Drosophila melanogaster: one gene and its partners. The protein of the gene in region 1 interacts with the protein of each later gene in a pairwise test. Each region holds a gene or a part of one and is shown in the gene's direction. Other genes may lie near its edges.

Evidence for each region.
Region 2: the proteins of Hexim (region 1) and S6kII interact in a two-hybrid assay, tested with the Drosophila melanogaster proteins (one large-scale study listed by BioGRID).
Region 3: the proteins of Hexim (region 1) and Rchy1 interact in a two-hybrid assay, tested with the Drosophila melanogaster proteins (one large-scale study listed by BioGRID).
Region 4: the proteins of Hexim (region 1) and Acox3 interact in a two-hybrid assay, tested with the Drosophila melanogaster proteins (one large-scale study listed by BioGRID).

What each region holds. Positions count from the first base shown.
Region 1 is NT_033777.3:14,657,650-14,661,694, forward strand, and holds Hexim (hexamethylene bisacetamide inducible), read left to right. Parts: upstream 1-1,788; 5' UTR 1,789-1,911; coding exon 1,912-1,966; intron 1,967-2,094; coding exon 2,095-2,661; intron 2,662-2,725; coding exon 2,726-3,186; 3' UTR 3,187-3,528; downstream 3,529-4,045. Other genes in the region: CG3505 (uncharacterized protein), read left to right, coding at 1-173, 611-758, 831-1,528; Rad17, read right to left, coding at 3,694-4,045.
Region 2 is NC_004354.4:22,528,067-22,536,001, forward strand, and holds the start of S6kII (ribosomal protein S6 kinase II), read left to right. Parts: upstream 1-1,897; 5' UTR 1,898-2,284; coding exon 2,285-4,436; intron 4,437-4,789; coding exon 4,790-5,373; 3' UTR 5,374-7,935. Other genes in the region: CG17600 (uncharacterized protein), read left to right, coding at 27-515, 676-1,146, 1,204-1,325.
Region 3 is NT_033779.5:6,459,668-6,467,668, reverse strand, and holds the start of Rchy1 (ring finger and CHY zinc finger domain containing 1), read left to right. Parts: upstream 1-1,999; 5' UTR 2,000-2,140; intron 2,141-3,529; 5' UTR 3,530-3,825; coding exon 3,826-4,407; intron 4,408-6,952; coding exon 6,953-7,114; intron 7,115-7,187; coding exon 7,188-7,346; intron 7,347-7,674; coding exon 7,675-7,953; intron 7,954-8,001. Other genes in the region: HemK1 (HemK methyltransferase 1), read left to right, coding at 61-270, 330-850, 905-1,145.
Region 4 is NT_033779.5:6,444,532-6,449,598, reverse strand, and holds Acox3 (Acyl-CoA oxidase 3), read left to right. Parts: upstream 1-1,736; 5' UTR 1,737-1,749; coding exon 1,750-1,992; intron 1,993-2,163; coding exon 2,164-2,298; intron 2,299-2,358; coding exon 2,359-2,849; intron 2,850-2,925; coding exon 2,926-3,403; intron 3,404-3,467; coding exon 3,468-3,738; intron 3,739-3,802; coding exon 3,803-3,957; intron 3,958-4,021; coding exon 4,022-4,312; intron 4,313-4,369; coding exon 4,370-4,480; 3' UTR 4,481-4,529; downstream 4,530-5,067.

The sequences.
Region 1 (4,045 bases):
TCCCGCCCATCAATTGTGTTGCAAAAATTCCGAGTGGCCGTGTCACCGGTCACTGCATTTCGATCCGGGAGTGTGACTACTTCATGAGAATCCTGCTATCCGGCAATCTCAGCCAGAGCGATCGCAACCTGCTCCGTGATAATCAGTGCGGAGTGCGGGGCAACGACGTCCAGGTGGGTGATTCACCACAGTATCTCTCCCTACCCAATTGAACTCGAACTTCCACAACTTGATCCATTAAGCGCTACTAAATAAAACAAGCTCGATTATATTGGGCCTGTTCTGGTTTTCACTTTCACTGCCCAGCTTCATTTTTTTGGAATTTTATAAACGCTTGCGTTCTTATCATTTTCTACAGATAAGAACTTGTAAACGATTTGAATAGGGAAATACACCACATTTTGATAATACGAATGGTTTCAAATGAGATATCATTCTCCTTTTAAATATTTTAATTACTTCCATTGTTAATGTTAAGGAAACTTTTTGTAAAAATAAGTGACCTCAAACTGTATCATAAAAAAAAACTCGTTATTCGAGTACGCTTTTGGGAGTTCCTCGTAAAAGAGATATACTTTATAATATAATGATAAAGCCACTGTTTTTCTAGGTATGCTGTCCTAGTACCGCCGGCTTGGGTGCCCTGACCCACCCACTTTTGCCCTCGGATTGCGGAAAGGTTCGTTGGCAGCGTTCGAATGACACAGATACGCGAATCCGGGAGTTTCCCTGGCTGGCCCTCATTGAGTATACGCGCGGTGAGTTGCCGGTTTTGGTAATATATGTATATGTAGGTCACAGTATTAATCCCCACCTTTTTTACTCCGCAGGCAACCAGGAGAAGATCCATGCGTGTGGCGGTGTGCTTATCAGTGATCGGTATGTGCTAACTGCTGCCCATTGTGTGGCCCAGGCGGCGACTAGCAATCTGCAGATTACTGCTGTCCGGTTGGGTGAATGGGACACTAGCACGAATCCCGACTGTCAGTACCATGAGGATAGTAAAGTGGCGGATTGCGCGCCTCCCTACCAGGACATAGCCATCGAGGAGTTGCTTCCACATCCGCTCTACAATCGCACCGACAGGACGCAGATCAACGACATTGCCCTCGTCCGACTGGCAAGTCCTGCCAAGCTCAACGACTTTGTGCAACCCATTTGCCTGCCCAACAAGCAGCTGCGAGCGGACGAGCTGGAGGACCTGGTCACCGAGGTGGCCGGATGGCAGGCTAGTTCCTCGCAAAGGATGCGAAAAGGTTATGTGACCATTAGTTCGATTGAGGAGTGTCAAAGGAAGTACGCCAGCCAGCAGTTGCGCATCCAAGCCTCGAAGCTCTGTGGCCTGACCAATTCCCAGGAGTGCTACGGCAACGCTGGTGGACCACTGATGCTGTTCAAGAACGATGGCTATCTGCTCGGTGGACTGGTGTCGTTCGGACCCGTTCCCTGCCCCAATCCCGACTGGCCGGATGTCTACACCAGGGTGGCGTCCTACATCGATTGGATTCACGACAGTCTCAAAGCATAGATTGAAGTAAATACTTGGTACAACAAAATGTTCAGTAAAACAAACTAAAATAATAACTAAATCTTTTGATTCAGAAACAATATTTCAATAACTTACCTTGTGGGTAACAAAGTAGAAAGATTGTCTTTAAAATATGGAGATTTTCTTATTTATTTTGAAATTGGCGCCTAATATTATTCAATGTGATAGCAATTGGGGTATTTTTGGTCGCGTTAGGCGGAGAACTTTATGTGGGACTCCGGCGTCAGCACCTGGTTACACTTCAATCGAGTTTTAGTTCGCTTAGTATAAAAATCGCAAACCTACAAATCGGCAACAAATCTCCAGTTATAGCTTAAAGTGTTAATTAAGTGCTTAATAAATTAAGTATTTGTGTTGGCAACATGGCTGAAGCTGTAAAAAATGGTAAAAATCGTCACTCGGGGAGCGCTGAAAAAGGCAAGCGACAAATGGCGACTGTCTTATTGGATTGTTTTTTTCTTTCCTTTGCCCCTGCAGTGGGCAGAGTTGCATTTTCGAGTATTTTGGCGGTTCAAATTTGAATTTGGTCCTCTTGCTCTTTCCAGAAAGTGGCTCCCAACAACGACCTTTGGATAGCGGCGGAGGAGGGGGCGCCAGTGGCGGAGGCGGTGTCGCTGTAGGAGGCGGCTCGGGAATGCCGAAGAGGAAACATCGGCGGGGAAAAAAATCCAAGATGCAGCCCAAGAAGACCAAGAACCATTATCCGCAGTGGAAACTCGATATGTCAACGGGTGCAGGAGCAACGCTGGAGGGGAATCAACGACAGAATAGCAGAACCAAGCTGGTTCGTTCGCGCTCCTTGCTCGTTCCGTACAACACGAACCGCTTCCTAATGGAGGAACACATGTCGGAGCTGCACAAAGATGACTCCGACGACAACTGTTTTGGCTCCCAGACCGAAGATCAGGTGCTCTTCCTTTCCAAGGAGTTCTCCGATGTCTACGAGCGAGCGCGGCTCGAACGTTTGGAGACGATGAGCAAGCAGGAGCTCATCCAGGAGTGCATGCAAATCGAAGATCGATATTCGAAGGCCCAGAACATATCCAAGGAGTTTGGAGCCAAATTACGAGCGCAGGATGATAAGATTCGCCAACTATCACGTGAGAATCAATGTATGCGATGTCTTTAATAATTTGAAAAACCAGGAAAATTTATAACTTGTGCCTTTTATTCCAGTTCTGCGCACCCACCTCTTGCGCACGTGTTCCGCGACAGCTGGACCAGCGGCAGCAGCAGCGGCCGCAGCTTCCCCGCCCTCAGCGGTGGCGCCCACTCCCAGTTCAGCTTGCGAGCTGCAGGCTAGACAACAGCCTCCCCAGCAGCCACAACCCACACCCATGGACTCCACCAGCGAGGACAGCGAAAGCGACAGCAGCAGCACCACGTCGAGCACCACGTCCACCACTTCCTCGACCAGCAGCGATGGTCACGAAATGGGCGTGGCCGGCCTGAACATAGCCAATGGGCATGCCGAGCGGCACGAGAGGAGCCGCACCCGCTCCAGGTCTAGATCACCGATCCACCTGAATGGTCATGCCAACGAGGAGGAGCGTCAGCGCCTGCTAGATGGAAATCAAATGGAGGAGGACGACAACTCCAGCGATGTATCCAGGCCAGCCGATGCAGTTGTCAAATAGAATAAAATAGAAGAGTATGTCACTCCGCCGTGTGTAAATAAAAGACTCAATTGTGGTAGAATGTGGCGATAAATGGACATAATCCTTGTTTAGTTTTTAAGTCATCTGTGGACGCCTAAATTGTGAGGAGTTCCTTTCAATCATCAAATAGCTCATCAAAAAGCATTCATCAGAAAGAATTAGCATTACTTTATTATCTGCAAACGACGCCTCCCAATTGTATTTTTGTTGGTCTGTATGGTGTATAGTTTAGCGGTGTTGCCTCGAAGTGTTGATTTTAATGGAACTTTGTATAATGAAAAATCGATTTGTAGATAAATAAAGAGTTAAAACATGAATTCGAATAACTACCGCTATTCATTTTCTTACGGTGGGATGCGCAGTACATTTAATTTATATAATAAACTGGGTTTTGCGATTGTTAGATATCATATTTGGTCCTAGGGACATTTTTTAAAAACTTCCTTGCTACTTTAGTTTTAACATCAGATAAATAGTTTTGATTTACTAAAAGTCTTGTTTTGAGTCTGTGCTTTGGCTTGAAGTAGTATCCACAGGCTTGCCTGCTATTAACTTAACTAATGAGCTGTACTCCGTGGCGTAGAGCGTCCTGGCAATGCCCGCGTAGCCCACACCCACCAGTCTTTGTTCGGCCAAAGTTGCCTGTGGCTGTATATTGATTCGCTTGGGTCCTCGAACAGGCATCCATCCGCTGACAGGGCACGTATTGGACATCATAACTCCTCGTATGGCAACGTTTAAGCCCATCACAGACAAATTATCATCTCTGTACTCGTTGAGCATGCAATCTGATAGGCCCAAGTCATTTATGGCGGTCACGACATCATCGATTTCCTTA
Region 2 (7,935 bases), on another chromosome or scaffold:
CCAATCATCTCAGCCAATCAGCAGAAATGACAGAGACCAGTAATCAGCAGCCTGGCGGCGAAGATTTCAATGGCCGCCACTCGGCATCGCCGGCCCGCACCATTGATTCGCATGATTCCACCACCGGCAGCATGGATACCATTGTGGATCGCAGCCTGAATCCTGAGGAACTCCATCAGGTGGTGACCACCATCGAACATAGCACGAATACCACGAACTTGGCGGGATCGGGCGGTAGTCTGACCAACTCGCAAATCGGCATGCTTCAACGGGATGAGAATCGAAAACAGCAGGAGGACCAGGAGCAGGCGCGCCAGGATGCCCAAAGTCACATCTATTCGAGTCCTGTCTACGATGAGAAGCCGCCGGCGGTGAAACTCCTATCCGCCGCCCTAGACTTGGATGCCCAAAAATCCCAGGCAAACAATGATGACGATAATAAGCCCAATCTTATTTCGCACCAAGAGTTCAAACAACAGCTGCAGGAAGCTATTGCTTCGCGGCAACCAAACCAGGTAGGTCCTACAAAAAGTCAACCAAAATTAATCAATTTGTATCAGTTGAATCACCTAATAGGGCTAGAGAATCTTTAATTGTCCATTTCTGTACTGCCTTGCTCTCATTAATCCTCAGACAATCGAATATTGTACCAAACACATTTTTTCTTCTGTGCAGGTGAATGGCACTAAGAGTGGGGCCACCACTTTGGACTCCAGGATCAGTCGTAAACAGCGCTGTCCACCGGAATTTATTAAGTACAAGGAGGGCAGCGAGGGTGGAGGCAGTGGCTCATCGCTTTCCTCGAAAGATCGGCGCAAGCGCAAGGCGAGCAATGAATGCTGCTCGGCATTTCCACTGCAAATAGTGTTGGGCACTCTCCAGTTGCTCCTGGCCATATCGCTGGTGGCCCTGGGATCACTTCTGATCGTCCGAGAGGCAGCGCTCTCACTGGCGGGATGCGGCATCTGGACGGGATTGATAGCAGCCGTTACGGGCTCCCTTGGAGTGGTGAGCATGCGCAAAACCCAGACAGCGTTTTTGGCCCTCAGTTTGGTCTGCATCGCCAGCAGCACCCTGGCTCTGGCTATTTCCGGCGTGGGATTGTCAAGGGACCTCAACAGGATGGCGGAGCAAAAGGGTGAACAGGTAAAGCCGGGCTCTTCGCATTGAGGCATGTTTTTTTAATGGTTTCATCCATTCTAGTTCGACTTGATCGATACCAACAGCGAGGTTTCCGCTGCCTGCGGCCTAATTTTTGCCCTGTTTCTTCATTTTGTGGTCAGTATTGTATCCGTCTATCGTTGCGCCCTTCAGATTTGCACTAAGTAAGTAAGCTACTCCTACTACTCCTACTTTTATATATGAAAAGTGGTTGTTGTCCACTTTTGAAGCAATAATAATACTGAATCTATAAGCACAATGTTTTTTTTTTTATTGTTTTTAAAAGCGCTTGTACGATATCCATTAGTTTTTTACCAATTGAATTTGGAATGTTGCGGCTAATATAAGTAAGTAAGTCTGCAAAACCGTTGTATTTATTTAGCAAAGTTTCCGGAAATCAATATAAAAGGGATATAGAAATTTATAATAACGGTTTTTAGACGGTTTACACAAGATAACTTGTTTCGTGACGACGTTTTCGTAATGAATTGGTATTTTTCGCGTTTGGTATATTGCTAGACACGGTCACACGGGCCAAATCATTCTCAAATAAAACTATATTTATATGTTTTTTTTTTTTTAATTGAGTTATATAGACTTTTAAAACCGAAAGAATGTATTAAAAGTGTAAACAAAAATTTGCTGAATACGCACAGTAAAAACATCGGCTGCAAAAAGTAAATCGATGTTTTCGGAAAACTGAAACTATCGATGTAATCGATGGTAACATCGATTTTTTTGCAGCTCTAAAAAAACTTTATTGTGAATGTGTAAATAATAGTGATAAGAAGCAACACAGCTGTGCGGATTGCGAAGCGGATAGTAAAGCAGACGGCGTACGAAACGTGGGCGCATTAGGAAAGCGCTGCTTGTTGGCCGTAGGAGCAGCAGGGAAACCAGAGAAATCCGGAGAGGCAACAGCGCAGTCGACTGCGACGCCCACGCAGCGGAAGTAATAAAAAAGAAAAGTGAAATCGGAAGTAGGGAGAGTTCGGTGGAGGAGGAGCAGCAGGAGGAGTTGGAAACGCAGGGGGAACTCGGGCTCTAGCATTGTGCATCAGGATCTGGAAACAAAGGAACCGCTAGGAGCAGTTGCCTCACAACGCTAGCAGCCACCGAAGTCATGCCGCTGGCCGATTCGCAAAAGGATCTCCGCCAGCAGCCTCAGCAGCAGCAGCAGCAGCAGCATGTGTCCTCCACCAGCAGCAGCAACAATGCGGAGCAGCAATGCAGCAGCAGCGGATTGGGTCTGCAGCTGCGCCAGCGCATGCAAATTACCTCGTCCGGCTGCAGCAGCCTGGCGGTCACGCCCATGGAGCACACGCCCACCGAGGACGATGAGAGTGGCGGAGGCAACAGCGGTGTCACTTCCTCGGTGACCACTGTGACATCATCGCAACGCCGCCAGCAGCTGCAACAGGTGCAACAGCAATCTGCTCTGCAAGCGGCCCTCGAGCAGCATCACATCTCACCAACAGCAGACTTGGATTCCGCTAGGAAAAGGCCGACGCATCGAACCTTGTGCCCGCCGCCAGAACTTATGGAGCTGAGTGATTCCGAGTCCCAGGGAGGCGTGGAAACTGGCGGTAGGAGAGAAGGGGCTACTGGGCGAAGTGCACCTGATTTAGAAGACACCGAGCCCCTATATGAAACAGAAAACGAATTCGAGCTTAAGGAAGTCATCAAGGAGGGTCACGACAAGGCCGATCCTTCCCAGTTCGAGCTCCTACGGGTTCTGGGCGAAGGTAGCTTTGGAAAGGTGTTTCTAGTGCGAAAGATCATAGGCAAAGATGCAGGAACACTCTATGCCATGAAGGTGCTCAAAAAGGCCACCCTAAAAGTAAAAGATCGCGTAAGGAGCACAAATGAACGAAAAATACTAGCGGACGTGGGTCATGCTTTCATCGTACGTCTTCACTATGCCTTCCAAACTCCCGGAAAACTCTACTTGATACTGGATTTTCTTCGTGGCGGTGATCTGTTTACCCGTCTATCCAAAGAAGTAATGTTTACGGAAGAAGATGTCAAGTTCTATTTAGCGGAACTGGCGCTAGCTATGAATCACCTACACACATTGGGCATTATCTACAGGGATCTGAAACCGGAAAATATTCTACTGGACGAGCATGGCCATATAGCCTTGACGGACTTTGGTCTATCCAAGCAGCCTTTGGATGGCTCAAAAACATATAGCTTTTGTGGAACCGTAGAATACATGGCGCCGGAGATCGTGAACCGAAAGGGACACGATTTTGCCGCTGATTGGTGGAGTTTCGGGGTGCTCATGTACGAAATGTTAACGGGGAATTTACCCTTTCATGGCCAAACCCGCCAAGAGACTATGAATCAGATCCTTAGAAGTAAGCTGGGCATGCCGGAGAATTTGTCGCCAGAGGCGCAATCCCTGCTACGTGCTCTCTTCAAAAGAAACCCCCAGAATCGTTTGGGTGCGGGTGCCCAAGGAATTCTGGACATCAAGGCGCACTGCTTTTTTGCCACCATCGACTGGGTGAGATTAGAACGAAAGCAGGTGCGTCCGCCTTTCATACCGGCGGTTAGCCGTGACGATGCCTTTTACTTTGATGTGGAGTACACCTCAAAGTCCCCCAGGGATTCTCCGGGTGGCCCGATCTCCGCATCTGCCCATGAGATCTTCCGCGGGTTCAGCTTTGTGGCTCCTGTCCTTCTGGAAGGTCAGTGTGCTGGCTCGAATATGTGCTCCACCAGCGCCAGTCCTCTGCATAGTATAGCTCCTATTCCTGCTGCTCCAGTGGGAGCCCCTCGAACATTACCTGGTGTTCTTCCCGGAAACTTCCATGCGGAATATAATCTACTGCAAGAACTGGGACGTGGAACCTTTTCAGTTTGTCGGTTGTGCGAGCATCGAGCCTCCAAGAAACATTACGCAGTAAAAGTAATCGAAAAGGCAGCTGTGGCCGCAGCATCCACATCCACTTCTGCCGATTGTTGGGAGGAGGTGGAGATTATGCTGAGGTACGGCAACCACCCAAATATCGTCACTCTGTACTCTGTTTACGAGGATGCGGGGTCCGCATATCTTGTGATGGAGCTGCTTAAGGGTGGCGAGCTTCTCGATCGGATACTTGCCGTGGGCCAGATGTGCGAGAGTGAGGCCAGCGCGGTGTTAAGGACAATTGCATCTGCGGTAGCATATCTCCATGAACATGGCGTGGTCCATCGAGATCTTAAGCCTTCAAATATGATATATGCCAGTATGCGGCAAACTCCCGAGACCCTAAAGCTCTGCGATTTGGGTGAGTGCGGAGCGGAACTAGTTAAATATATTTTATTATAGCCTTGCAGTAAATTTTCCAATTGCTGACAAACATGATTCACTTTAAAAGCTAAACTTTCGTAATTTTTAATTCCTTTAACTATTATTTGTTTTCTAAGTTACTTTGTTATTTGCAATTTTAAAGGTTTCTTTTCTCCAAACAGAAGGTTTTTCATTTTAAGATCTTATTTAGCCAAAGTTCCATCCTATTGCAATTGAAATCATTTGATAATATTTAAATTCAGAAAGCATTTATTTCTGCAAGGCTATATATTTTTCTGTGCGAGTATTTCTTGTTGGTAGAGCAGGAGTAACCTTCCGATTTCCGCTTAGGTTTCGCGAAGCAGCTGCGCGCGGACAACGGCCTCCTGATGACGCCATGCTACACAGCCAATTTTGTGGCTCCCGAGGTTCTAAAGAGACAGGGCTATGACCTGGCTTGCGACATCTGGTCGCTCGGTGTGCTGCTTTACATCATGTTATCCGGCCGGACGCCTTTCGCCAGCACTCCAAATGATTCACCGGACGTAATACTGAAGCGCATCGGATCAGGACAAATTGACTTCACAAGCAGTCGCTGGGCACTGATCAGTGTGCCGGCCAAAGAACTTTTGCGTCAGATGCTACACATAGTACCGGAGAATCGGCCGACGGCGGCGCGAATACTTGAGCACGACTGGCTGCGGGAGCAATTCGCCGGCGGCGTACAGCTTACAGAGTATGCGGTGGCGCCCGGATCCCAACTTTCGCTGGGCGCCCAGCAGCAGCAGCAGAATCACATCTCCATGGCCTTAAGAGGCGCTGTTGATGCCACTTTCCGGGCTATTGCCATACCCCAGGCGGCGAATGTGGGACCCGTAGAACTTTCCATGCTCGCCAAGAGGCGGGCCAAAGATCGAGCCAACCTGCACTCCTAATCCTGGGCGGCTGCATGGTGTCCGCGGCGCCAGGCCAAGCGGCAGATAGTCCGACTACTTTTCCGAATCTATAGTATTCTAATCCAATGCTGCTGTGCCAATCCGCGTCGTCTTGTCAAGGACAATGCGCAGAAGCTTGGTTCACATCCACAAACGCTGGGCAATCCTCGCCAACGCTGCCGCAGCGCCAAGCTGCGTGTGGTTTAGGTTTTGGGGGAATCGGCCTAACCTAAAGTATTTGACAAGTGTTAATTATTTATTTTATATGAAAGCATGCCAATATGCCAAGGCCATAACGCACTGTGCGGGGCATCTATATACACATATATATAACTATACAAATACTGATATACATCTATATATAGCTATTTATATAACGAATCCTAAAGCAAGGGCCTAGAGAGCGCGTGTGAATGTGGCGCCAGGATCATCCCAGATGATTCCTGAAACCACATTATTTATCCCAAACTGGAAATTAAAAAAAAGCCTCTCGCCCAAGTTTACATATTTTTAATTAAATTAATCGTAGCTAAATTTTTCAACATCACCGTGTTATTGTTGCTTAATTAAATTAATTAAAATGAAAAAAAAAATGGAAAAAAGTATTAGCAAAACAAACAAAAATTAAGAATAAAAGCCGCAATCCTTTTATATAATAATAACTTTTTTCGCCAAACTATAAAGGAAGAACAAAGAACCCAAAAAAAACTGTGTAGAAAGATAAGAAAATCAAACCACAAGAGTTTCCACAATTCTTACTTGGAATGTCAATTTGCACAATGAAATATGAAACTAAGCAAAAGATAAACATAACTACCATATTATACAGAATGTGTACATAAAGCGGAAACTGTGCTTTTCGGGTTTATAAGGCAAAGGATATTAGAAAAGAGTATTTTATTAATAATTCCCTAAACAATAAAAACCGACGTTCTTTCCAACACTGCACAAGGGTGCATATTGTTATTTAATTGTAATTAAGAAACGTAAATCCTGCTAACTTGTCTTACAGTCGCGAAACGCACAGTTTAGTTGTAATAACGCCGGGGAAACAGTTGTGACAACATCAAATTGGGTTTCCATTTTGTTTGCTAACGTCTTCCAACAGAAATTATATCAAACAATATACCTTTTTGCGCTGTAACCAGATATAGAAAGTTCCGACTTACCATTGGATGATTTAGAACCGAAACCGCGATATATTCCATCATACTCGTACTGAATACAAATAGGATAGCGTCGTATAAACGACTTGGGTTAATGCAGAGAATTCCATTTGTTTGTGCTAGTTTCTCTAAAAACTGCACGATCATCAGTTCCCAACAACTTGTTTCGACTCTTCGAAGACAATTCCAATTTTGTTGTATTTTTGCCAAGGAAAACTTGTTAAAATTATGCTAGAGGGAAATATACAAAAAAAAAAAAAGAAAATACAAGCAAAGTGGAACGAAATTGAATAAATTATGTAGAAGAGCCATGTGAATCCTTAGAAGCTATGTATGCCACTTGAAAAGCAGAAGTTTCTTGTTTGCGAGCTTGTGTGTGTGCATAAGAGGCTGTGTGTGTGCTTCTTGTAAGTGCATGTGTGTGTGTGCTAAAGGATTATTGTGCTGTGCCACTACTGAACTTACTGCTACCAAAAATAAAACAATAACTTCATATACATATTTACACCACCTAAACAAGGTTAGTAAAACTTAGAAATTTTTTAAAAAAGGATAACATCCCTTGAATAAAACTGTATTTTCGTGGTGTTATTAAAAGGAGTTGGAGGGGGAAAATGGTATGATTATCCTAAAGTACATATATAATTAGCTAGCTGCGGAGGGAAAACAATGTGTACACATTGACATATAATATAGAAAATATTTAAGAAGGATCTTGAGATGAACATTTCGCCTAATAGTTGTCACGATAAACTTTTGCAAAATATGTTGCGTCTACAGCAATGATTTATACTTAATTACCTTGTTTTGAAATGACGACAACCAAATTGAAGGGATACGTCGTTTCCCTGCTTCGTTTTTTAACAGATTCATACACAAATTATAAAACGAAGTTGAGACAGGCAGAAAAAGAATTTTAGTCCACGGGCTGATGAGAAATCTAATCCAGCGATTAGATTAAAACTCATGTATACAAAAGTGGCCTACTATGATAAAAACTGTAATCATTTATCAATAATTCCGAACGGTCTCTTACAAAAATGTTCGGGTTGCACAAAAAGGACAGAGACAACAGATAGTTTAAGCATACAATACAAGCAACCCACTTTAAAGCCAACTCTCGACTAAATTCCCCAAGAACATACATATATATCTTAATCATATATATGAATGCGTGAATATATTTTCTTAGTAGATTTTAACAGCTTCCAGACTATACATACATTCAAATGATTGAATTCCGATATGAATCATTTAATTAATAAACATATTCAACGAAACTGATTCGAAATTATTGTTAAGTTGAATTTTTCAAACCAAGCAGAAGGAACCTAATTGAAAAACAAATAACCAATTCGAATTGTTTCGATCTAATTGGGATATCCAAAATACATTT
Region 3 (8,001 bases), on another chromosome or scaffold:
AGGCAGTGGGTCGTCAAAATTTTGTTGTTAATCAATAGCAATTAGATAATAAGTGAAATAATGCTCAGACAACTGACACGGTCAATGGGCCCGACCTCGCGGCTGCTTAAGCAGGTCAACTATGGCACAAATGCCCCAGCTGGCACCCACATTCCCGTGACCAAGGCCCTGGAAATTGGACAGTGGGAGGAAAAGCTCAAGGCCGCCGGCGTCGAGGACAGGAAGTTCAACGTGAAATGCATCGTGTCGCATGTCCTGAAGCAGAAGTTTGTAAGTATCTGTGAGAAAAGCTGGCTATCAACATCACTAACCATGTTTACGTTCCGTAGAGTTCGGTTCCTGACTCATTTGACCAGCTGCAGCTAAATCCCGGCCAGCTGGCGGATTTCGAGCGCTTCCTGGAGGCCCGTTGTGCCCGCATGCCGTTGCAGCACATCATTGGCGAGTGGGACTTCATGGACATTACGCTGAAGACATCGCCGTCGGTCTTCATTCCACGCCCCGAAACGGAGGAGTTTATGCGCCTGGTGATCGATGATCACAAGAACGCAAAGCACGTCGATCTTTTGGAGGTGGGCTGCGGCTCGGGCGCCATGTCCTTGTCCATGCTACACAGTCTGCCGCAGGTGGTGGCCACTGCCATTGAGCGTAGCAAGGCGGCAACCGTTCTGGCTGCGGAGAATGCCAAAATGCTGGGGCTGCTGAATCGATTTGAGGTACACAACCACACCATGGAGGAGGACAAGTACCTGCCGGAGGCGCTGAAGGACAAGAAGTACGATTTGATCATCTCCAATCCTCCGTATGTGAAAACTGAGGAGTTTCAGTTTCTGCATCCCGAAGTCGTGGTGTAAGTGATGTTATACCAGATGGATGCAGTGCACTAACTATCTTATATCCCCAGGTATGAGAACCTTAATGCCCTGGACGGTGGGTCCGATGGATTGAGGGTGGCTCGACTGGTTTTCGACTTGGCTTGTCGGCACCTGCGTCCCGGTGGCAAGCTCTGGCTGGAACTGGGCAACGACCACCCGCCGATGGTGAAGACCATTATGAATCTGAAGTACGAGGGCCGGCTCAAGTTCATCGCCGGCTACAGTGACCAGTATCAGCGCGAGAGATTCGTTCAGATCGAGAAGGTCTAGGCGAGATTGCGCCATAGACAGGACGGAATGCTATGACTTTGACAATGCAATTAGCTATAACGTTGCCCATGCATTTAGCTGTGATTTGATTTAAGACCAGACATACCTGCACGCTGCCCAGAGACTCACACCTATATAAACAGAATATATAGCGCTATTAATCCTTAAGTTTCGTCTCTGAATCTTTTAGCAACAACCGCAGGCGGTATTACTTCACAAATATACCTGTATAAATTGCACAATGCAATTAGCTGTTTGATTTATGACCATATTATTATCAGTATACAAAAACCACAACGACTTTTACCTAAGGCTTTCTACTGCATTTTTGATCCTATAATAATGGATTAACATGATTTTAAAGATCAATAGGTTAAAAGTATAATGCACCTATAATAACTGGTCACTGATTTAAACTATGGCGATTATGATTTATAACCAGAGGCTTGCTGCCATAAATTGGAGGGTGTTAATGATCATCGCGGATCGAGTATAATGCTGTTTAATCAAACTGATGTATTCTATATCTGCGATAAGCAAAATGCTAACCATATTTTTGGCCTGAAAGATGTGTATCCTGTCAATATATAGAATCAGAATATTTCTATGCAAATTAGAAAGTTTTTGCTTAAAGTTACCACTTTAATGCTTATAGGTGTACTGATTATGAAAACAAGGACACATGTCCACAAGGATTACCATAATTATGAACCCGAGTGCATAAATCCCCCGACTTCGCATCTGAATCTTGTTGTAACCGCTCCGCTGGAGAGCTTTAAGCTCCGGAGCGGATAAAAGCTCCGACAGAGTGGCTCGGAGCAACAAGTGGCTAACTTCCGTTGCCAGTTGGAAGTCGAAACTCGCGCCGGACGAGTCTGCGGAATCCGGGTGCGCGAGTGGAACGCGGATTTAGATTGTCGTAGCTCTTTAATTCAATTGACGATTTCGAGCTGCGATCTCCTTCGTTCGGCTGGTGTGTGTTGTTTCACTTTCAAGTACGCATACATATGTGTAGTATAATTAACAAATGGCTAAATCATAATTAAAGTCGGAGTTTCAGTGGATATCACAATGAGCGCTTGATGAAAGTCAAGAAGAGGGAACTTAAAAAGCGCCGAAACAAAACAAAAACGAGAAACACGTTAAACGAGAAATTGATTTTAAAAATTCTACATAAATTTGACCATATAGATTTGGGTAAATGAATGAATGTGCATATATATGTACATGTATATATATATACATACGCCCAAACTGCGATTTGAAGGCGGTTTGAATGTGGATTGGAAACTTTTAGAAACCAATTAGCCAGATCGTGACATTACTTAATGCATTTATCCGCCCGATCGACGCGTGCAAGTGTGTGCCTGTGTGCGTGAGTGCGTGCGTGCGTAAACATGAATACCGAATTGAATCGAGTTCAAACTTGCGTTCTTTTCGCCGACTGGTTTTCCGGCGAGGCTGGCTTAATCGCCTTGCGTTTGTAATTTTAGCACACTTTCAATATTTATTGTCGGTCCCTGCTCCCCGGCGCAGAAAATGCGAATAACAATCTGAGCAAACAAGATTCGGCAACGAATTTGCAGCTTGCCGCGCTGTGCAAATAAAAGTATATATAAAAGTATGTACATATATACATTTATATATAGCTGGTAATGCCTCCTTTGGCAGCATCAATATGTGCACCTGCTACGTGCAACACCGACTTGCAGCAACAGCCAACCGATGAGCGAAAGTCGCACGCCGATTGTGTTAACAAGTGTGTGGCTGGCTGCTCCCTGCCCGCATTTTAATTCATCATCCGCACCGTGTGCCAAGGCACTGCGATTCCCAATCCGTGGAGCTGTGAACGTTTTTGGCGACCTGCAGGCTAAGCAAGCGATTTATATGCTGCCGCTCACATGGCACAAGGTCCCATCCAAAAACAGCAGCGGCCAAGATAGTAGTTCATATGCACATATTTGGGTTCTTAACAGGTTAATTGTCATTTTATAATGATATGGGTTTAATAGGTTTCCATATCTGATCCAAAACTATACAGAAATGGAAGAAAGTCATCATAGGTGATCTTTTATTTGATAATTTCTTACATAAAGTTACTACTTCTTGTTCCCCATTGTACGTTGTGTACAGTGCGCGACGGCTAAGAAAACGGAGTGAAAATCAAGATAGTCGTTATCTAGTTTAGATGGCCTTTCGCAGTCGGGGACTGGGAAACATTGAAATGCAAATACGCCGCCTCGGTAGTTTCATTTGTGTGTCAAAAATTGTGTGGGGGTGTGGGGGGTTAACCCGGCTTAGACTCTAATCTGATCGATCGGAGTGTGAGAAATGGCCTGCTAATGGAATACTTACCACTTTCCCACACTTTTCAATCGCTTCAGCCGAGTGTGTCACCTGTGCGAGCCCATTAATACCCAAGGATGAGCTGGACAAACGAAAGTTAGTTGCGATCGCGTGAAAAGGGAAACCGGACAGTCGGTTTTTTGAGTGCGGATACAAAGTCTACATGTGGCACAACGACAACAGCATCGGCCAGTAATTTAAATGCTTCGCGGCGGCAATTGAAAGGGCCAGCAATTAACCACGACTACTGCAGCTGCGAGGCATAGTGGAAAATCACTTTTATAGACGTACATACATAACTCTATATATACATAGAGTTAGCTCCTGCAGCAAAATGAAGAACCGCCAGCGAACGCGCCGAATATCGCTAAATGAAAACCACAACAGATACATGGGCAGCGGCGGCATCGATGTACAAATAGTTACCAATACAAAGGAGCCCAATCAAGTCAATTTAAATTCATCGTCAGCCACGACGACCTCAGCGGAGGCTGCTCTGCCCGCTTCGCTTCCACTTGCTCAGATAGCGCAGCAGCCACATACCCATCCCCATCCCCATCCCAATCCCCATCTCCACCAGCAACACCAGCTGATTGTGACGCCCACAACGATGACGGGCAAGTATCATCCAGCGCACGCCAAGCTGCGAAGATGCAAATCGACGCCGAGTCTCAATTGCGATGGCATGGCGGAGCCCATGGAGGAGGACCAGCTCCATCGCTTTGCAGCATGCTCACGTAACCCCGCCGCGGAGGCTCAGCAGCATGCACAGCCATCGTGCAACAGCAGCAGCAGCAGCAGCGACGGCAGCTGCAACAGCAACAAGTGCAGCAGCAACATCTGCGGTGCGCAGCCAACAACTCCGGAGTCATTGCGCTTCGGATGCGCTCACTACAAGCGGCGGGCCATGTTCGTGGTAAGTGCAACAGGCAGTCCAACTCCATTCATATTATCTATGGATGCTTTTCCAAGCATTACATAAAAGGAAAAGCCCCAGAAAAGTTATAAAAGTTATACACTTGAACTTCTTTGATATGTATATCAATACAAATTTTAATCCTTTTTTAGTGTATCGTAGTATCTATAACCATTCTTAAGATTAGTAGATAGATGTTCGTAGAAAGACTAGACGGATCCATGTATCTAGCAGTCTTACTTGTAGTGAGATTAGTTTATTCAAACCTCAAATGTGAAACCAGTCAACTTATGTGATATAAGAACAAACTTCAATTTTGAAAGTTCTTTTTTTATTTTATACGGGTATAGTTCAATTCCTGGGTCATCAGATAAAGAATTATGCAATTGGAACCCCTATGTCATGATTAGAAAGCGGATCAGTCATTTCACTTTTATAAAATGAATCCTAAAAATACATTGAAATAAATTCAAAGTGATAAAGCCATTAAACATTTCACCCATTTGGAAAATTTTCAAGAAGATTATGATGGCGCCTCTAAATGGCATTTGTATGCCTATTTATCCATCTATCTATCTATGTGTGTGTGTGTGTCTATCCAACACAGCTACCTTCCTGAAAATGGGCGCATTTAACCTTTATTTATTCGTTCCTAAACAAATAAAGTGGCTAAACTCTAAACAGACACCTTTGGCGAAGATTCTTTTGTGTCTGTCTGCTGACTAGATTTTGAATTCAATTGGAGGGCATCGCTATTTGCACGGCAAGTGTTTGGCTTGTGTGGACAGCTTGACGATGTCCGGCATCCAAAAAACTAACTGGTCAGCATGCTCCGCTGAGCAGGAACTGAGCAGGAGGCGAGTGGCCACTGGCCAGTTAACACCTCCATTCGCCATTCATCTGGGCAAACAATGCGTTTGTCTTGATCGCTCGCGTTTGGATAACAAATTATGGGGCATCTAAAAATGTTGTGTGTGCATATAAAGCAATCGTAGCACGGCTATATTCAGGTTCTTTACCTTAACAATTAGTAGAGCCAGCAGACATAATTATCGTAAGGTGATAAGTACAGAAGTTCGAAGGTGGGAAAAGTAACTCAGTGCTGGGGAAAGTGGTAACCATTTCATGTATAAAGTATCTCATGCAGAGAAGACTGCAGCTGCACTTGATTAGATAGATTTGTTTGTGAATGACCTGGATTATTAAATAAAGAAAAAGAAAGTTAAATGTAAATATTTAAATACTTATAATTCCAACAGTAGTGAGCGCTTATTTGTTGTTGAAAAGCAGCCAATTCGCGATATGAATTATTAATTCCCCAAAAATTCTGTATTATGCGCTATGGCCTTACAATACTTTCCAAAAAATGTCACGTAAATCCGTACACACGCTTCAATCTGTCCCACATTTTAATAAAATTCGAATGTAGAGGTTTTTGCTTTCGTCTGTGCACCGCGAGAAATTCGGATAAGCGAGGGTTTTGTGCACTAATGAGGTGCCCATTGAGTGTTGAATCAGCTGGGTTATTTTATAGTCAAATATTTATTTTCGCCCGACAGTGCGTGAAATAAATGTATACATGAATGTGGACATAAGCTGAGAGCAGTATGTGCAATCCCCCAAGTGGAGCAATGCCCCATGGATATCGCCTGTTCCCGCGAATCTTGTATCAATTTGTGTTAGAAGCTTTGTTTCGTCTTGGCTAAATAAATTTGAGATGTCTGGAGTTAGCCAATTGCAGATGCAAACGATCATTAAAATACGATCGTTAGTGAAGCACAGCAATGAAAGCCGGGGGGAATGACAAAGAAACCGGATTCGAAGACTCTTCTCCGGTTCGGTTCTGTACTTCGAGTGTTATCATCGCAGCAGCAGCAGAGTTGAAATAAATACTTGTATACGAAAAAACTGTTGTTAAGTTATAAATAATTCTCAAAGATAGTGGAGATAGATGTGTGCGCGAGGCTGGAGGCAGATACAAATGGCTGGGTGTTGGCTGTAACTAAGCCGAACTCGAGGATACACAAGATAATTAAGGGCATAAATTAACTTATTTTCAAACTTTATCCCCAAGACAAAACTGATAGAACTATATCATGTAGTTCGAGCTGTGCATCGACAGGTGAACTAATTAGCAGCCACCTAATTAAACGACACGAGTACCTTTGGCATCTTTACAATCGGATTGGGATTCACCCGCTGATTTGACTCGAAATTCGTACAAAATTCGATTCAGTTTCAAGTGCCTTGTTTATGATAATGCTAAGTTATTGCCTTTGGCATGTAGACGTCACTAGTAGATTTGTTTTTTAGTCGGTTTCCAGGCAGATTTCTTAAATTAGCAACTCCATTTGGGGAGTTAGGAGTCGTGCTAATTGCCGCTCGATAATAGGTTTTTCGTAGTCCTTGACTGAGGGGTGTAGTCCATCGGCAGGTGTGGCGGGGAGCAATCTCAGCTCCATTTAAAGTGGAATTTTTTCGAGCAGCGATTTCTTTTCAGCACTAATTTGATCTGATACTGATCACGCAACTATATCTTTCTCAGACCCCCTGCTGCAACAAGTTCTACAAGTGCCGATTTTGCCACGACGAGAACGAGACGCATCACTTCGATCGCAAAACGCTCACCGAACTAATATGCTCCGAGTGCAATACGCGGCAAACGGTGCGGGAGCAGTGCCTCAATTGCGGCGTGAGATTTGGTAAGGTAAGATATCCATCCAGGTGTCCAAAAATCACAGCAAAACCCTACTAGTAATATCATTTTGATGTACTTACAGTACACCTGCCTGATCTGCAACCTCTTCGATGATGCGGACAAGCAGCAGTACCATTGTCATGGATGTGGGATTTGTCGCATTGGCGGTGCGGAGAACTTCTTCCACTGCGAGGTGTGCAACATGTGCCTACCTATTCAGCTGAAGATCGATGGCCACCGGGTGAGTTGGTACTACATTTGGCACTTCATTGGGCTTGATTAAGATTTGGCCTGTAAGTGGGAATGCTGACCTCCGCGATTCGAAAGCAAATCAAAGAAACACATTAACTTTTTTTTTTTTTTGTCAATTCATTACCAAAACCGGTTGCCTAATTGCTATATGTAGCGATATATGATCTGCGATCTGCAATCTGGGATCCAGTTGAGTGGATATGAATGTCAAATGTGCTGAAGCAATGACTTCATTAATTGACAGCGAATTGGGCCAGAGACTGGCATGGCTGATTGCTAAATCCTTGCTAATTGACAACGTGTCTATTTTCCCGTAGTGCGTGGAGAACATCTCGCGATCGCACTGCCCCGTGTGCCTGGGCGACATCCACACTTCGCGCATACCCTGCCACATTCCCGACTGCGGACACCTGCTGCACAAGATGTGCTTCGACCAGCTGCTGGCCTCCGGCCACTACACCTGTCCCACCTGCCAGACCTCGCTGATCGATATGACGGCGCTGTGGGTATACTTGGACGACCAGGCGGAGCGCATGCCGGTGCCACTGAAGTACGAGAATCAGCGAGTGCACATATTCTGCAACGATTGTCACAAGGTACGACTAGATATACATAATACTAACATTCATGAAAAGCTCTTATAA
Region 4 (5,067 bases), on another chromosome or scaffold:
ATTTATTATATTCATTCAATATATACAAGCATTCATATTATTGATAATCTTAAGAAAATTAGAAATATCAGCGGTTTAAATGAGCAACACCAAAATATCACGCAACGTTTTATTTGAATCGTCAATTTGAATTTTTCGTAAGCAGCTCTATAAATGAAGTTTTAATGCGTACATATATATGTAAAAGCGACGTAATTTTTATAGCTTTTTCTAATGGAACATTTTTTAGCAACAATTAAGGAACTTATTGCGATTGCGCAGCCACTGAAACGAAAATAGAAAAAATTGAAATTGTAATCAATAACTACGTGTTACCTAATTAGTTTAATAAACAAATTGCCGAAATGGCTTATTGCAAGGATTTTAGCCAGAACTTATACAAAAGAGTGAAATGTAAGATTTGAACTCGAAATACACACGTAGGTTATAGCTAGACGTCAGATTATAATTATAAATGTAAAATTGTATTTTAAACATTCGAATGCAGAACGTTTTTGATTGCACACTAATTACCCCGTCATTTGTACGCCCTTAATTGCTAATATCAATCAATCTCCAAAGTGTTTTTAAAATCAAAAAAGGCAACTTCAGTGTGTTTTTTTGGTTATTATTTATTGTATTAAAAACGAATTACTATGCGGATGTTTACAATTTAGTTTTATAAATAATCTGACGTGTATTGTAAGAATAAACTGACAAGCCAATAACGAAGGAAAAATGAGTGCATGTTAACTAAGTGTGTAAGTTGTATTAAGAACGTAATCAAATAAATGCTATTAGATCAATTACATGTACATATTCGCATTTTATTGTGGGCTCTTGAAAAAAATAAACTATTCAACAGTTTTAATTAAAATCAAATTTAGAATCCATGAAAATTGTATGGTATGGATATGGATGCTCTTTTCATATTTTAAATGTGGATTGTAATGTTTTTATATATATTGTAATGTTTTTATATAACAAAATAGATAAAATTAGACCAGCAAATGACTCGTTTCTGATAGAAAGAATATTCAAATTACGCGCCAGACCTACTATTCCAGCCCTGGCTACCTTGAGAAGGTCTGGCAACGCCCCCGCTAAAACATTTTGTGAAAACATTGAATTGTGATATTAAAGAAAATTAAACATGAAATTTATGTATATTATGTATAATAATTAAATAATTATATTATATAATAATTAACAGAATTTAAAAAACTTCACATTTTGTATTTATATAACACCGTTCTTTCTCATGGCTTAAGTCACGTCAAACTATGTTATCTTCAATGGTGAAAAACTGGGTTAAAATTGTTTGTTTATCGCGCTTGTTGTTGGCTGATGGCTGATAGGAAATTAAAGCAATGTTTGTGGCCGCTAAAAGATTCGAATTTCGCAGGCAGCACCCACCACCACCTGCACGGGCCGCCCTAATCCCGCATTCTCCTAGGGCCCGTATCTTATCCGCGGCGGATGCAAACCACTAAAAGGCTACTTGGCCATGAAGTGCGGATAAGCGGATTCCTTCTTATCGCCGCTGGCCATTGGACATTGGCTATTTTACCAATAATAGTTACGAGTGCCTGGACTTTCAAGCATTTCGCGCCTAGCATTCGAAGCAGCCAGACCAGTCGCTAGAATCGAACTCCAACATGGTTGCATTGAGCACAAAGTAAGTACCCCTGCCCCACAGCCCCATCGCCTCGACTGACGACCACAACGTCCACCAATCCAACATTCCAACAAGAGCCAGTTCTCTGGGCAATGGCGAGCGGAGTAGGCGATGGCGATGGTGGTGACCAAAACGGTCTGAACTCATTACTAACCGCACTGGGCGACTATTACAGCGGCCGCCGGGAGGAGAAGGCTGCAGCCAACATCTACGATGACAAACGGATCTTTCCCGACTTCCGTAGCGGACCTTTGGAAGAGTACCGTGAGCGGGCTAGCTTCTGCTACAAGCGCATGAACGTGGTGCTCGAGGGCGAGGATCACATACGGCTGAAGGTTCGTTACCATTTCCAGTTTGTTACATATGTACATGGTCAGCGGGGTCGAAGTGCAGACTGCCTCGATAGCTTTTGTCGGAGCTGCAGGCCGCCAACCGCCCGGTCTAATCGTCGCCCGTTTCTTATCTGCACACTTGAGTAATTCGTTTACATGTCACTCCGTCTTTAGCACAAGGTGTGGCAATGGATGGAACAGCACCCCGACTACCAGCGGGAGCCAGGATCCGATTTGGAACGCACCCGCGAAATGGCCAACAAGCGGCAGCATCTTCTGTGGGAGCAACAGTTCTACGGCGTCAACGAGGTAGGATGCGTTGCGTACTCCTGAAAGTGTGGCTGCCTAAATCTCCTGTCTTTCTTTCAGTATCTTGGAACCCCACATCTTCTGCTTGCTTTCGGACAGGCCATCTTTAGCTACGATTTCAGCACTTCGGTCAAGTTCGGCCTTTCAACTGGCATGTTCCCCAGCACGCTGGTCTCCAACGGATCTGGCCGCCTGGGCAAGTACGTGGCCAAGATCGCGGACAACCGCATTTTGGGCGCCTACGCTCTCACTGAGATTTCTCACGGCACCAACGCGCTCGGCATGCGCACCCGTGCCACCTACGATGTGAAAAGGCAGGAGTTTATCATCCACACGCCAGACTTCGAGGCGGCCAAGTGTTGGGTCGGTAATCTAGGCAAGACTTGCACGCACGCAATCGTCTACGCCCAGCTGTACGTGCCGGATGACAAGCACCAGGGCCTGCAGGCCTTCCTTGTTCCCATTCGGGACGAGCGTACATTGCTTCCATTCCCCGGCGTAACCGTCGGCGATATGGGCGAAAAGATCGGTCTCAATGGCATTGATAACGGGCAAGTACTTTCTTCTATCAGTTGATAAAACTAATCAACAGCAACAGAAATAATTTCGATTTGTTTGGCATTGCAGATTTGTGATGTTCAACCAGTATCGTATCCCTAAGGCAAATCTGCTGTCCAAGACCGGTGACATCGATGCGCAGGGAAACTACACCAGTAAAATTAAGGACGAGCGTAAGCGCCTTGGCGCCTCCTTGGGTGCCCTCTCCGTGGGTCGCGTCAATATCACTGCTATCACGTATGTGGCCTTGAGCAAGGCTGTGACAATTGCCACTCGCTATGCGGCCAGCAGACGCCAGTTTGGCCCTACCAACAGCCCGGCGGAGTGGCCCGTGATCGAGTATCAGTCACAGCAATACCGACTAATTCCCCACTTGGCCACCACAATCGCCTTGCGGGTGGCCACACTCTGGATAGGCAAAGAGAACGTGGATTTGACCATGAAGGGCTTCACTGGCGAGGACACGTCGCAAGCGGGCATGGAGATCCATGCGATCTCATCGGCACTCAAACCAGTTGCCACTTGGGCTGCCAGGGATGGCATCCAGGTATGAATGCTTTATATATGTATATAACCACTTTTACTTATCGGTTATATTGTTTTAATCTCAGGAATGCCGCGAGGCCTGTGGCGGTCATGGCTATCTTAAATCTTCTGGCTTGGGCGAACTTCGCAACGACAACGATGCCAACTGCACCTATGAGGGCGAGAACAACACGCTCATCCAGCAAGCGTCCAATTGGTTGATCAGTCTGCAACGCAACAATGCCGACTTCGTGGCAGTTTCCCCATTGGAGACAGTCTCCTTCCTGAAGGATATGGACACAATTCTGCAAAGCAAGGGTCAGGAGCGAACTCCTGCCGAAGTTTTGGATCCGCTCAGTGAGTATTTCTTAGTTATCCAAATATAAGATAGGAATAACGCAATTTTATTGCACTTCTATAGATCTACTTAATGCCCTCAACTGGCTTACCGTCTGGCAACTGGATACGACGGTGAAACGAGTTGAGGAACAGCAGCGCGAAGGAAAGGATGCCTTTGAGACGAGGAACAACATCCAGGTCTTTGCCGCCCAGAAGCTCTCCATTATCTACGGCGAGGTGAGATGCCAACCCTCTAAACCCCAACTAAATAGTAAAATAACCAAGTTTAATATTCTTTTAGCGCACCATCTACTACGTGTTTTATAAGTTTGTAATTGGTCTGCCCGACTCTGCTGAGAAGAAGGTACTGCAGCAGGTGCTCTCCTTCTATGGCGCCCACTTGGTCACAAAGTACTCCGCTGCTTTCTACCGCGGTGGTTACTTCCGCGAAAACTCTAACCAACTGGAGCTGTACGAACAGGGCATTCTGGCTCTGCTTCCCCTGCTGAAGAACGAAGCCATTGCTCTGGTGGATGCCATTGCTCCCACAGACTTTATTCTAAACTCTCCTCTGGGCATGAGCGATGGAAACGTAAGTGGTCTACCATAAGCAACTGCTACTCTTACTAAAGATTCTATCCTTTCGCAGGTCTACCAGCATCTGCAGCGCACGCTTGTCTCCACTCCAGGTGTCTACGAGCGTCCTCATTGGTGGCGTGATGTTACCTACAAGGATTACCTTAAGCGCGCCAAATTGTAGACTCACTGTAAAATCCCAAATAAGAAGACTTTACTCGTTGAGTTTTTGTAAGAAACTGATTTTATTTGGAAATATCTTCGGTTTAAATAGGTGACATGAGAATCGCATCTTAAAGTAAATGGCCTACGCAGAGGCCTAAGTAAATAGTCCCCGCCTTATCGAGGTCCCACGCTCGGGCACATCTGCCTATCTTGAGCGGCGAGGACCTTATCTGTGGTCTCCCACTAAGGGACTATTTTAGGAGGCGGGGAACGATCTCAAGTGACTGACTCATGTAGTGTGCACTTAAATTACATGTTTTTGAGCAATGCACCCATGTCGCCTTAGATAACAAAATCCTAAATATAATTTATCGCTCTCGATTCATTTACATAAGATATGAACGGAGCCCAAAATTGTAAGTCTTTAAATATATTCGTGTTCATGTGTGAACATTCTGCCAAAGGGCCAGCAAGCTGAGATGTACATTAGTATATTAGTTGCATTTATAACAGTAGTGGACTGTATTTATTTGATATATGTTCATTTATTTTGCAACTAAGATTTCAATGGGCCTAGTTTTTCTGGCTTTTAATTTTATTGGATTA